Kluyveromyces lactis: one gene and its partners. The protein of the gene in region 3 interacts with the protein of the main gene of each other region in a pairwise test. Links are inferred from orthologs where the notes say so. Each region holds a gene or a part of one and is shown on either strand. Other genes may lie near its edges. The genes, in order: MON2, NEO1 and DOP1.

Region 1 (2,667 bases), on a different chromosome or scaffold from region 3:
TTCATTGATACGCTCTCGAATTTTGTTAATCAAGATAGGGATTTGAACATATCCTTTTCCTCTATTAGTCAGTTTTGGCTAATTGCAGACTCTCTTCGTATGCAAAAAGGAGATGCATCAGTTGAGGAATCAGAAACAAAATCCTATGATGCTCTAGTACAAAAAGGAGAAATAAACAAAATTATTGAGCAGGATTTTCCTATATCACAAAAGTTAAAGGCTTTGTGGATTTATTTACTGGTTACACTAGTACGCTGTGCATATGATCTTCGTCCTGAGGTTAAAAATGGTGCTGTGCAAACTTTCTTTGGAATTTTGGACTCAAATTTTAACCTTTTCCCATCCTGGGATCTTATTGCGTCGCAGGTTTTGAAGCTTTTGCTTTCATTTAATCTTCCTGTTGAGAACGCTAATGGGTATGCAGAATTTGTCAACATTACCTTCAAGGGATTGCTTCAGATTTATTCTAAGCACTTAACGTATTTCAACTCCCAAAATGATATGACAGAACATTGGATCATTCTTGTTTCTAAAATGGGTGATTTGATGCAATTAACAGCATATGATGTTGTTTATTCTGTTTGTAATAATTTCAAACAGCTTTTGGAAATCTCCAAGGCAATAGAGGACTTCCCAGTCTTGATTATAAGAAAATACTATGAAATTTGGAGCAGTTATAATATTGTTTACACTTCAATTCCGACGAATGACTACAGAAAGAAAACAAACTCAGATTGCTTACAAGCCTTTATGGATTGTTTCAAACCTCTATATGAGCTCCATAGGATGCACTCCTTGATCGACACAGACTTCATGGAAAAATGTCTAAGTACCATTAATGCCAGTGCTCGTTATCCATTGCTTCCGGACCATATTTCAGATAGACTAAAACCCTCTCCCCTACAAAAGTCTCTCCTTGCTGCGATTGGCACTTTTGATGAAGATCTTCCTCCTAATTTGCAGGTTTTGCTTTTAGCTCAACTTTCTGCTATTGTTGATCTACCTTTCGAAACTCGTGACAGAATTGAAAAGAAGCTTTCCGCTAAATTGGGGGACCTTACAAAGACGAAGATTCCTTCTTTCGAAGCTATCAGTTATTCGGCGTGCGAATTACTATCACAAAGGATATCTAGGCTGGAACGTCTTGATAAAACGATTATCGAAAGCAGATCATTTAGCAAGTTACTTAACAACCTTTCCCATCCGATGACCAAAAACTCCATGATTTGTCCTTCAATAGATTCCGAACGTCCCGTACTTTGGAAGTTAGCATGTGATTCATTTTGTATGCTGTCAGATAAATTGTTTTATGCCTTGGTGGCCAATTTGACCGCAACCGAAGAGGATAATGTTAACGAATATACCGCCATATTGATACAAATGCTTATCGCGACTATAGTGAAAGAAGGAAAGCAAGATGATGAAAACATCGGCATACAAGCTGTTATCATATATAAGCAGTTGAAGGAACTGTTTATAAAATGTCTTTCTTTGGGATTGTTGTCGAAAGAACAAATACAGCCATTCGGTTCTGCTTTATGGTCAAGTTCATATTATTATGAAATTGATGAGGTTGAGGACGCTGTTATCAAACAATGCGCCAACTTAGAAGATATTGTCAGACAATTTGCAAAGTTTGATTTTGACAATATCGTTGGAAGTACCAAAGAACCTGTGGCTCTGCCCAATTATAATCTCACGGCAATTTGTTTGGGAGACCTTATAGCATTTTGTACTTTACAAACCAACAAAGGTGAAATTGTGAGAGAAGTATGTTTTTCGTTCATGATCGCAAGAGTGGCATTTGTATTAAGAAAGTTCATTGCCGACCAGCAGCTTCTCAATTTACAACCCATCTCCAAGGTCAAAAGTTTAGAGCTGCAACAAGTATCCAATGGGATCTTGAGTGTACTTGCATTTTACAACACGGTGGATACTACCATACAGAGCTTCGAATTGTTGGATGACCTTTATCCGTTATTGTTGAGGGCTATCCCTCTTTCTCAGAAAGTTCCAGGACTTCAGGACACGCTATTGCAAATAGCCCTATTATATGCAAAACTAAATAAATGAGGTTGTTTTGTAAACGTTTGATTATATAACTATAGAATAATTCATTAAGAGGTTATTAGTTCTTCCACTCTAGAAGAGATATTAGGTCTTGTGATTCACAGCTCATGTTAAAGAAGGAATGATGCAAGAGTTCTTCGGTAGATGCTCTGTATTTTACATCAACGCATAAGCAAACGCTTAAGAAACGCTTTATTTCAAGAGATAGATATTCTGGATGTTTTAGCTTAGGTGTACCATTTGTTGCAATCAAATATAAGGCTTTCAATGGTTCCTCATTCAAATATGGTGGTTCACTTTCAAGCATTTCAATTGTCATAATACCTAAGGACCAAACGTCAACCTTTTCATCATACTCTCTTTGCTTGACAACTTCAGGGGCCATCCAGTAAGGAGTTCCTACCATAGTAGCTCTTTTACTTCTCTTATCGGTCAACTTAGCACAGAACCCAAAGTCAGTGATCTTAACCCGTCCTCTGGTATCAAGTAAAACGTTATCGGATTTGATATCTCTGTGAATGATGTGCTTGTCATGCAAAAATTTCAACCCTTGGCAAGTTTCGCGGACAATATATGCAATTTGTGGCTCGGTCAAAG
Region 2 (4,294 bases), on a different chromosome or scaffold from region 3:
GATGAGGCCCCTATGAATCACAAATTGAGATAATTTGGCAGAGCTTTTGTAAGAATTTCTTCCGTGCCACAACAAAAGTTTGGTTAAATGACAAAATTGGGTAATTGAAAAGTCAGCGGCTAACGAGGCTTGCTTACCTTCCTTACCCACAATACCGACACCAACATCAGCACATTGAATCATACTGACATCATTACCACCATCACCGATACAACAAACACGTTTTCCTGTTGCTTGACGGATAAAAACAGCGACATCAGCTTTCTGTTGTGGAGTACAACGACATGCAACAACCGTGGGCAAATTTACAACAATATCGAAGAATTCATCAGGGAAGTATTGCAAATACAAGCCGAGTGATTCACCATCAATCAAAAGACATGAATTTTGGTTTACTTGAAGATACTCCAAGTGATGAAGAGCACCTTCTGGTTTGTTTACTTTAGTAACAGTATGAACGTATTGCCCTCTTGAGATTAATTTGGCTGATATGGAGACACATCTGGCGGTTTCAACTTTATCCCCAGTTAGCATCCATATTTTAATACCTGCGTTTCTTAACAATTCGATTGAAGACTTCACATCTTTTTGAAGTTTGTCTTCGACACCAGTCAAACCAAGTAGCTCCAAGTCATTTTCAAGAAATTTTCTAACAACATTTTGCATATGGACCTCGCGATCCATCATTGTTAAAGATGCCTCCGAGTACTCTTTTTCGAATTGCTCGAAAAGATTTGTGCTCAATTTTTTACGTCCTATCACCAAGGTGCGTAAACCTTCCGTAGCCATGTTACTCGTTTCCTCTTCTAGCCAATCGTTTCTGACCACGATGCTACTCATTACGGTATCAGCTCCTTTCTGTAAAAACCAGTATTCTTGTTTTAGTTTATCGAAGATAATGACACCCATTCTCTTAGAGTCAGAATTGAAGGGAAAGAGTATTTTGATGTCATATTCCAATTTCATTCCGGAATGATCATGAAATAATGAGATTGAGTGACGATCTCTCCTGAAGAGTGACAATCCAACTGATTCTGTAAATTTAACAATGGCAATTTCATCAGGAGATGCTGCTTGGTAAGTTAGTTCACCATCTTCAAATGTAGGTGTAACGTTGTGGCAGATAGCTAATGTTGTCACTAAATCAATAACACGATCTGAAATATTTTTCCGGGTAGTGGTAGGAGTACTATTAGAAGTCCTTGAATTCATTGATTGTATGAAATCCGTAACGATGTCCATAGTTTCATTTGTATAAGATACTGTTCCTAGGTGAATTTTTTTCAATTGCATATCGTTTTGAGTAAGAGTTCCTGTTTTGTCACTTAATAAATATTCGATGCGTCCTAAATCTTCCGGTATGGTACTTGTTCTTACGATGGTATCTTCAATTTGCTTGTCGTGCTCAATTTTATACGCATACACGGACTTTCCTAGATCTAGGTTGACTCGTAATGAAACTGGAATGATGGTGGAGAATAAAATCAAATATCTCATGATATCAACGTACCAATCGTTGTTATTGAAACCCGCAAACGCTACAAGCATTATCGAAAGCAAGAATACACATGCACATAGAATTTTCGATAGCCCATTGATCTCTAGTTCCAATAGACCAGTTTTAGCTTTTGATTTAGTAGTGTTCAAGGCCTGTCTTGTTTCGCGTCCAGTGTAAACAATACAACAGATGCAGGCTGCAGATGATGCAAGGACGGTATTTTCCCACATTGTGTTGTCAACGGATAGAGGTGATGAAGTCGAATCTTTGTAGGTAATCTTGCCCAAAAAGTTATGTATAGAATGTTCAGGAGCTGATGCAGTAATTGTTATATTATTCAGTAGATCATTCTCTGTCAAAGATTGAGTTAATGAACATGCAAGACGTAGTTTCCAGTCAGTTTCACCATCAAGCTGGTCTGTTTTAATGAAAGATTCACCATTTGGCTCATTTGTTTGTAAAACTACTACGTCTGCTGGTACCCTAGCACCTTTTTTTAGCTTGATTATATCACCAACCTTTAGATCTTTCGATGGTATTGGACAGGGTTTATTCACAACTTCATATAACTCATTGTTGGCCTCTCTGTCACGTTTTCTTCTATTAATATCATCCATGGCCTCCTTAGACATTGTAACAGTCAAAACGAAAGCTAGGGGGACAATGTAGGATGAAAGGTAACCAATACGAAGCTGAGGAATGGCCTGAGATAATGCAACTATTAGAAAATATAAATTGAAGAAGAACTTGAATTGTTCATACAATATTAGTGGGATGAATGTAAACGGGTTATATTTTGCGTTTGATATAACATTTGAAGGGTACTTTTTTCTGTCATATATGGGAGTCGTTGCAGGGTGAATTTCTCTTTCTACATTATGATCGTTCAGTTCAATTTTGTTCCCGTCAACGGAATTGGTAGAGCTGTACACAGATAAAGAGGATGGCTTCGATTTTGCTTTTGTAAATGAATGTTCAAACCAACTTTTAGCTTTTGACCATACAGTAATATTATTAGTATTTTGTGCGTTTCTATCACTATTTGACAACATCCTTCCGTTGTTACTGTGATTTGTTATCAATGGAGCGGTATCTGCATCGGAATGTAACATACCAGTTTGGTGATCGCCATGCATTGATTTCATCTCAAAATCTTCGAAAACAGTACTGTTTTCCCTTCTATGAGAATGCTCAGGTAATTGTAAAGATTCTAACGCAGCGTCTAAAGAGTCCTCGAATTGTAGATCAAATGAGTCGCGGTCTGTACTTTGAGCTTGGTGCTGATTAGATTTTGAATATTTATTTGGGATCTGTGAACCAGGTGGAGGCGAAAAGGACATTTGGGTGAGAACGACTAACGAGTTATATTTACAGATAGCCTAACAATGGAGATGATGTTTCCATACAGTCTATTGTTGGATTTAGCCACTGTGTTTACAATATATGTTTAATATTATTATGCAGATTCGATTTGTCTGCAAAGCCCTTTTTTAAATGATAGAATTATGGAGCTTTTTGCAATCACAGGACCAAAAATTAATGAGAACGACAGATATAAGAGTAAAATGCACAAAAATATAGATGTCAAAATACAAGCACAAAGTGCCGGTAATACATTAGTATACGAAATCAGATCGGGAAAGAGTAAGTATAGGGTTTATTTGGCCCAATCATTTAGTGCTTTCAAACTATGAATTAATGTAAATACGCAATAGTTCTTGAACATCTCTTACTATGAAAATAAAGTGGAAGATTAGTGTAACGATAATAATAAAAGATTACATGACCATGATAGTTTAAAAATAAGTATAAGTAAAAATGAGGTACAAAATATGAGAATTAATAATAAAAACATGTTAGCGAAAGATGCGATCGTGCATATGAATACGACAGAAAAACAGCCGGAAACACTCGAGATCTGCAAAACTGGTAACAAACGATCTTCAACTTATGTGTTCAATTTTTGATTTATAATTGGGCTCAACGAAAACCAGTTCCTGGAAACGGTTATCAAGATTTTCCTACCTCATTGACAAGCATAGTTGGGGGTGTTAACAAAATTTTGATGAGATAATTCGTGGTTCGGTATTCCATGTTCTTTATTCATATATGTGAAAGAAAATCCATTCGATAACATTTTATAGAGTGACCTTTATTTTTGAATTAGATAACTTATTTCTTAGACTTCTTAGCATCCTTCTTTTCAGCCTTCTTGGCAGCTTCGGTTTGTTCCTTGATAACTCTCTTGACGATCTTTTGTTCTTCGATCAAGAAAGCTCTAACGATTCTTTCCTTGACGGCGTTAGCAGACTTGGAACCACCGTAGGCTCTGGAAACGGTCTTCTTGGTTCTGGAGACAGTAGCGTATTGTCTTGGTCTCAAGGTAGAGACACCTTGCAATGGAACACCGGTGTCACCACACTTTGGTCTGGTAGCCAACTTCTTGACGTGTTGACTACGCAAAGCACCACCTGGGGTCTTAACAACCTTGATCTTGTTAGACTTGGTGTTGTCTGTAATGAAAAACGGGAAATTCTGTTAGTATTTTATTGCAATTTTGATGTAATTATTCATACGAATAGCTATTGCTGAACCAATCACATATGATTAAATGAATATTCCAAGTGCAACGTTTCTGCTAAAATAGGTAACACATCTTAATTGGAGAAAGTATGGCCAATCTCATCGGCAGATGAGATGCGTCATCATGCACTTCAACATATTAGAACATTTGTTATAGTCTTCAATACTATCGGATAAACTATCACACTGCTGTTATATCGTTTTCATCTCATT
Region 3 (4,145 bases):
AAAAGACTAAGTCATCATCAATATGACTTACTGTAGATACAAGAAAATCAACATATTTCATATGCGAAGAGTCCTCGGTAAAGATGTCAAGCTTAATTTGTCTTTTATCCGATAAAGATAGCACCTGTGAGATTATTTGTAGCAAAGATACGACAACAACTTGAGAATCAGGAACTTTACTGGCAATGTATTCCGTAGAAATTTGGAGCAATCTCGTCACAATGTTCTTGAAATTTATTTCAGTACCGTTGACAAGCAAACTTAAAAGAGATAATGCACTTTTTATGCTATTGCCAGGTGCGTCATTTTGGATACTTAGAAATTTTAGCAGCACAGCAATAACCAAGCTTTTATATGACGATACGTCTTCGGCCGCCCAGTCCTTGGATAATTTTTCAGTTACTAATTGAATTCCGAAAGCTTTATAGACCACAGTGTCTGGGGTTTTTAAAACATTTCTCAAAACATCAAGATGATAAGTAAATAGCGCCAAATCGTCCATATTGCCAATCTTTTCGTTATTTATAAACTCAAATTGAAGGGGGTTTTCAACCAAAAGTTCAAAGAACTTGTTTCCGGATTCACCAGAAATGATAGATACCACCCATTCATGCACATACCAGTAGTTAGAATTCTTTTCATCAGAAAGTTCGTCCAAAGCTAGGGACAAAGGTCTTTTTATAATATCAAAGTTACCTGCTAGATGAGTCCAGAGGCAGTCTAGAACAACTAGACGATTGTTAATGTCGCAATCCCCCAAATAAACAGAAGCTAAGCAGCTTTCAATTCTTGACGATGGAACATGTCTTGTTATGACTTTGAGCATTTCGACTGCGTCAATTTGTTTATTATGATCTAAGAGTAATGACCACAGCCCTTTCATAATTATCTTTAATAGTCGCATCGAATCCAATATCGGTAAATTACGGAACAAATATTTAGTGTAAATCTCAACAATTCCTTGTAGTGACTGTTCAGGAGCACTTTCGATTGCATCATTTTGTTCAAAGATACACTCTATCAAATCAGTATCTGACCACTTCACCACTTCAGCTTCTTCTGATACATCATACTGCTCGGGGATTATTTCAATGAATAATACAAACAATTTCGAAATATCATTTATGTTTTGATATCTTCGAATATTTTCGATCAACAGTAAATGCACTCTATAAGTGATTAAAAAAGTTAGATCTGCCGTATTGAAAGGAGGACTTAAATCAGATGACGAATTTAGATCTTTGGAATTAAGAGGATCTGACACCTGTTCATAGTAAGATTTGATATCAGTAAAGCATTTCTCATAGGATAGCGTGCTTCCCTGGGATAAAGAAGAGTGATGAATGGGCAAGTAGGCTCTTTCAGGTATCATTCGTACAAGAATTTCTAATATTTGAGTACACTTTGGAATTTCAATCGAACTCTGACATAGTAACGATAGTAGAATTAGCGGCAAGTGACGTACTGTTATTTCTTCATCAGTGGAACAGCGGAAATTTTGTAGCACATATATTAGAAGGTCATAGTCATTATCGCAAAACACTTTTTCGAAAAGCTTCCCCCAAATGATATTAGTTTCGACAGAATCAAAGAAAGAAGACGCTGTTTTCAATACTAATTGATTGTCCGAGTACTCTCTGCATTTCTCGATAAGTGGGATGAATATTTTCGGTGTTAAATAAGATCCAATTTGCCAGCGATCCATCAACGCAGACACGATTTTGTAAGCATCGATGCACGTCTGAGGGTGTTCGAGCATCTCATGCAATCCGCCTAACAAATGTTGAGCACCGTTCTTGATAAAATACTCGGAATCGCTATGATCTCCAGATTCTGGATCTAGTACTGGTCCAAGCAGCCAGTTCCATATTCTTCTATTGAGAGACATGTCTTTTTTCAACATTGTTCTGCATGCCGTCATGATTAAGAGCCGACAGTCGGAAGGTTTAACTAACACTTGCAACAATGGTGAATGCAAATGCAACCTTTGCAAAAGTAAGTCCAAAATACCTCTTTGGATTAGGATTTCGTTCTCATCTTCAAGACATCTAACAAAAGATCTTATTAGCAAACCTGGCTCGGGTGAAACTACTGGTTTGGAGGCATCGAGTAACAACGACAAAGCAAATTCTTTCCTCTCCTTCGAATCCTTTTTAGTTAAAGCTGTGTCCTTTTCCTTTGCAGCTAAATGAGGAACTGCATTTAACGATGGTAACTTTTTCGTCAACCACACTAGACCGCCCAATCTTCTATCTTTATTATTGATTATAATAATGAAAGAAGTTTGCCAAAATAAAGAGGGATCATCTAGATTAGTGTAAAGAGTCTCTATCAAATTTATGGTACTTGCTTGCGACTCACTACTTTCGTCGTCGATCCCTGGGAACAAACTTGCCAACACAGGTTTCACTATAATTTTCAACGTAACAGAAGATAGACTTACAATGTATTTCTCATACAGTTCAATCAATGGATGTTTAACCGATATGGACGCATAAGACATCAAGGGTAGAACGCCACCTATCCAAATATTCACTTCCTTCCCCAAAGTGTCGGGCCCAATCTTCTCAAAAATGTAATTATAAACCTCTAATGTTTTCAAATGAACTCCTGAAGGTAAGTTTGGAGATAATGATGAAGACAATCTTCTAGCAACCTGATAAGGATATGGAACGTAGTATTTAACATTCTGGAATTTAGGAGACCAACTTTGTAAAGCCTTGAGAAGCTTTCCTAAGCTGCTGATATAGTCAGCCCATTCCGTGACAGCATCGAAATGTTGCAATGCCCTTTCCACAGCCTGGTGGAACTTCTTCTGTTTAGAATCTAGCTGCTTTGTGTTCACATCTAGAGACAAGGGCCTCAATGGCAACGACATGGCTGTTTTTTTTCTATGCCGATAAGTCAAGTTTCAGAGGGGCAGTTTGTCTTGATGTTCTTCCTTATCTCGGTACTGATGCATCATTCTTTGGTCAAACCTTATAATTTTATATATTTTGTTATTATTATATTAAAAGTGTCTTTAACCAAACAGTCAAATCCCAATGAATGGCAACGGACACGTCAGAAGTGACTGTAAAATGTAATGCAAGTTGATCAGATAGAAGAGCAGAGTAGCATGCGCCTCTAAACCTGGCCACGGCGTCCTCTATATTGATATACTTGCCAAAACATTGAGGTGCATATGACTAGTAAATACAGGCAGAATTATTATATTTAAAAAAGAACAGTTTTCTTTGAATGACAATGTAGCCCATTAATTCAAGGCTATGCTTTCTCAAGCTTGTTTCAAGCTTCATCTATTGACGAAATTGATATATCAAAGTTTTAAAGCTTTGCTCAAAAATTGAACCAAATCTTGCATTTCTTCTAGAGAAGTAGAGTGAGCCATGCCTCTATATGATTTGAAATCATAATCTGACAGATGGAAATATTTTTCGAAAAACTTCTTAGCGTCTGAACCGTATTGAATTGGGATAATAGGGTCCTGGTCTCCATGTCCGTGGAACACTGGTGTATCTTTATTCTTATTTTCGGCAATTGAATCTAAGTCTTCTTTCTTTAAACGACAGAATCCTGATAGTGCAAAGAAACCACCAAGTTTATAAGGAGAAGTAACCGTACTAGCTAAAGTCAATGCAGCGCCTTGCGAAAACCCACCAAGAATGATGTTTTCGGGTGAGATACCATCATCGATTTGTTCTTGAATGAAACTGTTAATTACTTTCAAAGAAGATTTAATCCCTTCAACGTCTACTCTGGCATCTGGATTCGCCCAGTCGTAAATATTGAACCAAGCAGGCATAGACATACCTCCATTCGCATCGATTCTCATATTTGGAGCATTAGGGAACACAAACCTTGTATGCGCAAAAGCAGGGCTTCTTTGCAAGTATTCAGCTAGGAAACTCCAACCCGAACCTGAGTCACCTAGGCCATGGAAGACAAGAATCACGTTCTTTGCAGGTTGAGCCTTTGAGGCAACTCTAACAGCGTTCAATGGCATTGTATCAGGTGGTGGAAATTTATTTCTTATGAATTCAAATATCCAAGTAAAAGCAAAAGAGCCAGCTTATTATAAGTATGCTCAAATATCCACACTGATGGTGTCAATGCCTCGAGGTTTTGGTTGATCTCATTTAAGT

The links.
Region 1: the proteins of DOP1 (region 3) and MON2 interact in binary tests that used the Saccharomyces cerevisiae proteins (3 or more experiments, as listed by UniProt). The link is inferred for Kluyveromyces lactis from reciprocal best matches to the Saccharomyces cerevisiae genes DOP1 and MON2.
Region 2: the proteins of DOP1 (region 3) and NEO1 interact in binary tests that used the Saccharomyces cerevisiae proteins (3 or more experiments, as listed by UniProt). The link is inferred for Kluyveromyces lactis from reciprocal best matches to the Saccharomyces cerevisiae genes DOP1 and NEO1.

What each region holds. Positions count from the first base shown.
Region 1 is NC_006037.1:663,362-666,028, reverse strand, and holds the end of MON2 (Mon2p), read left to right. Parts: coding exon 1-2,073; downstream 2,074-2,667. Other genes in the region: KLLA0_A07403g (uncharacterized protein), read right to left, coding at 2,129-2,667. UniProt on the Saccharomyces cerevisiae protein: Required for traffic between late Golgi and early endosomes. Required for endocytosis and maintenance of vacuolar structure.
Region 2 is NC_006039.1:733,199-737,492, reverse strand, and holds the start of NEO1 (aminophospholipid-translocating P4-type ATPase NEO1), read right to left. Parts: upstream 2,839-4,294; coding exon 1-2,838. Other genes in the region: KLLA0_C08371g (60S ribosomal protein eL34), read right to left, coding at 3,671-4,011. UniProt on the Saccharomyces cerevisiae protein: Flippase that catalyzes the hydrolysis of ATP coupled to the transport of lysophosphatidylserine, phosphatidylethanolamine, and phosphatidylserine from the lumenal to the cytosolic leaflet of the Golgi apparatus membrane and ensures the maintenance of asymmetric distribution of phospholipids.
Region 3 is NC_006042.1:1,637,664-1,641,808, reverse strand, and holds the start of DOP1 (Dop1p), read right to left. Parts: upstream 2,879-4,145; coding exon 1-2,878. Other genes in the region: TML25 (palmitoyl-(protein) hydrolase), read right to left, coding at 3,320-4,006. UniProt on the Saccharomyces cerevisiae protein: Required for traffic between late Golgi and early endosomes, and for the normal structure and organization of the endoplasmic reticulum. Required for normal cellular morphogenesis.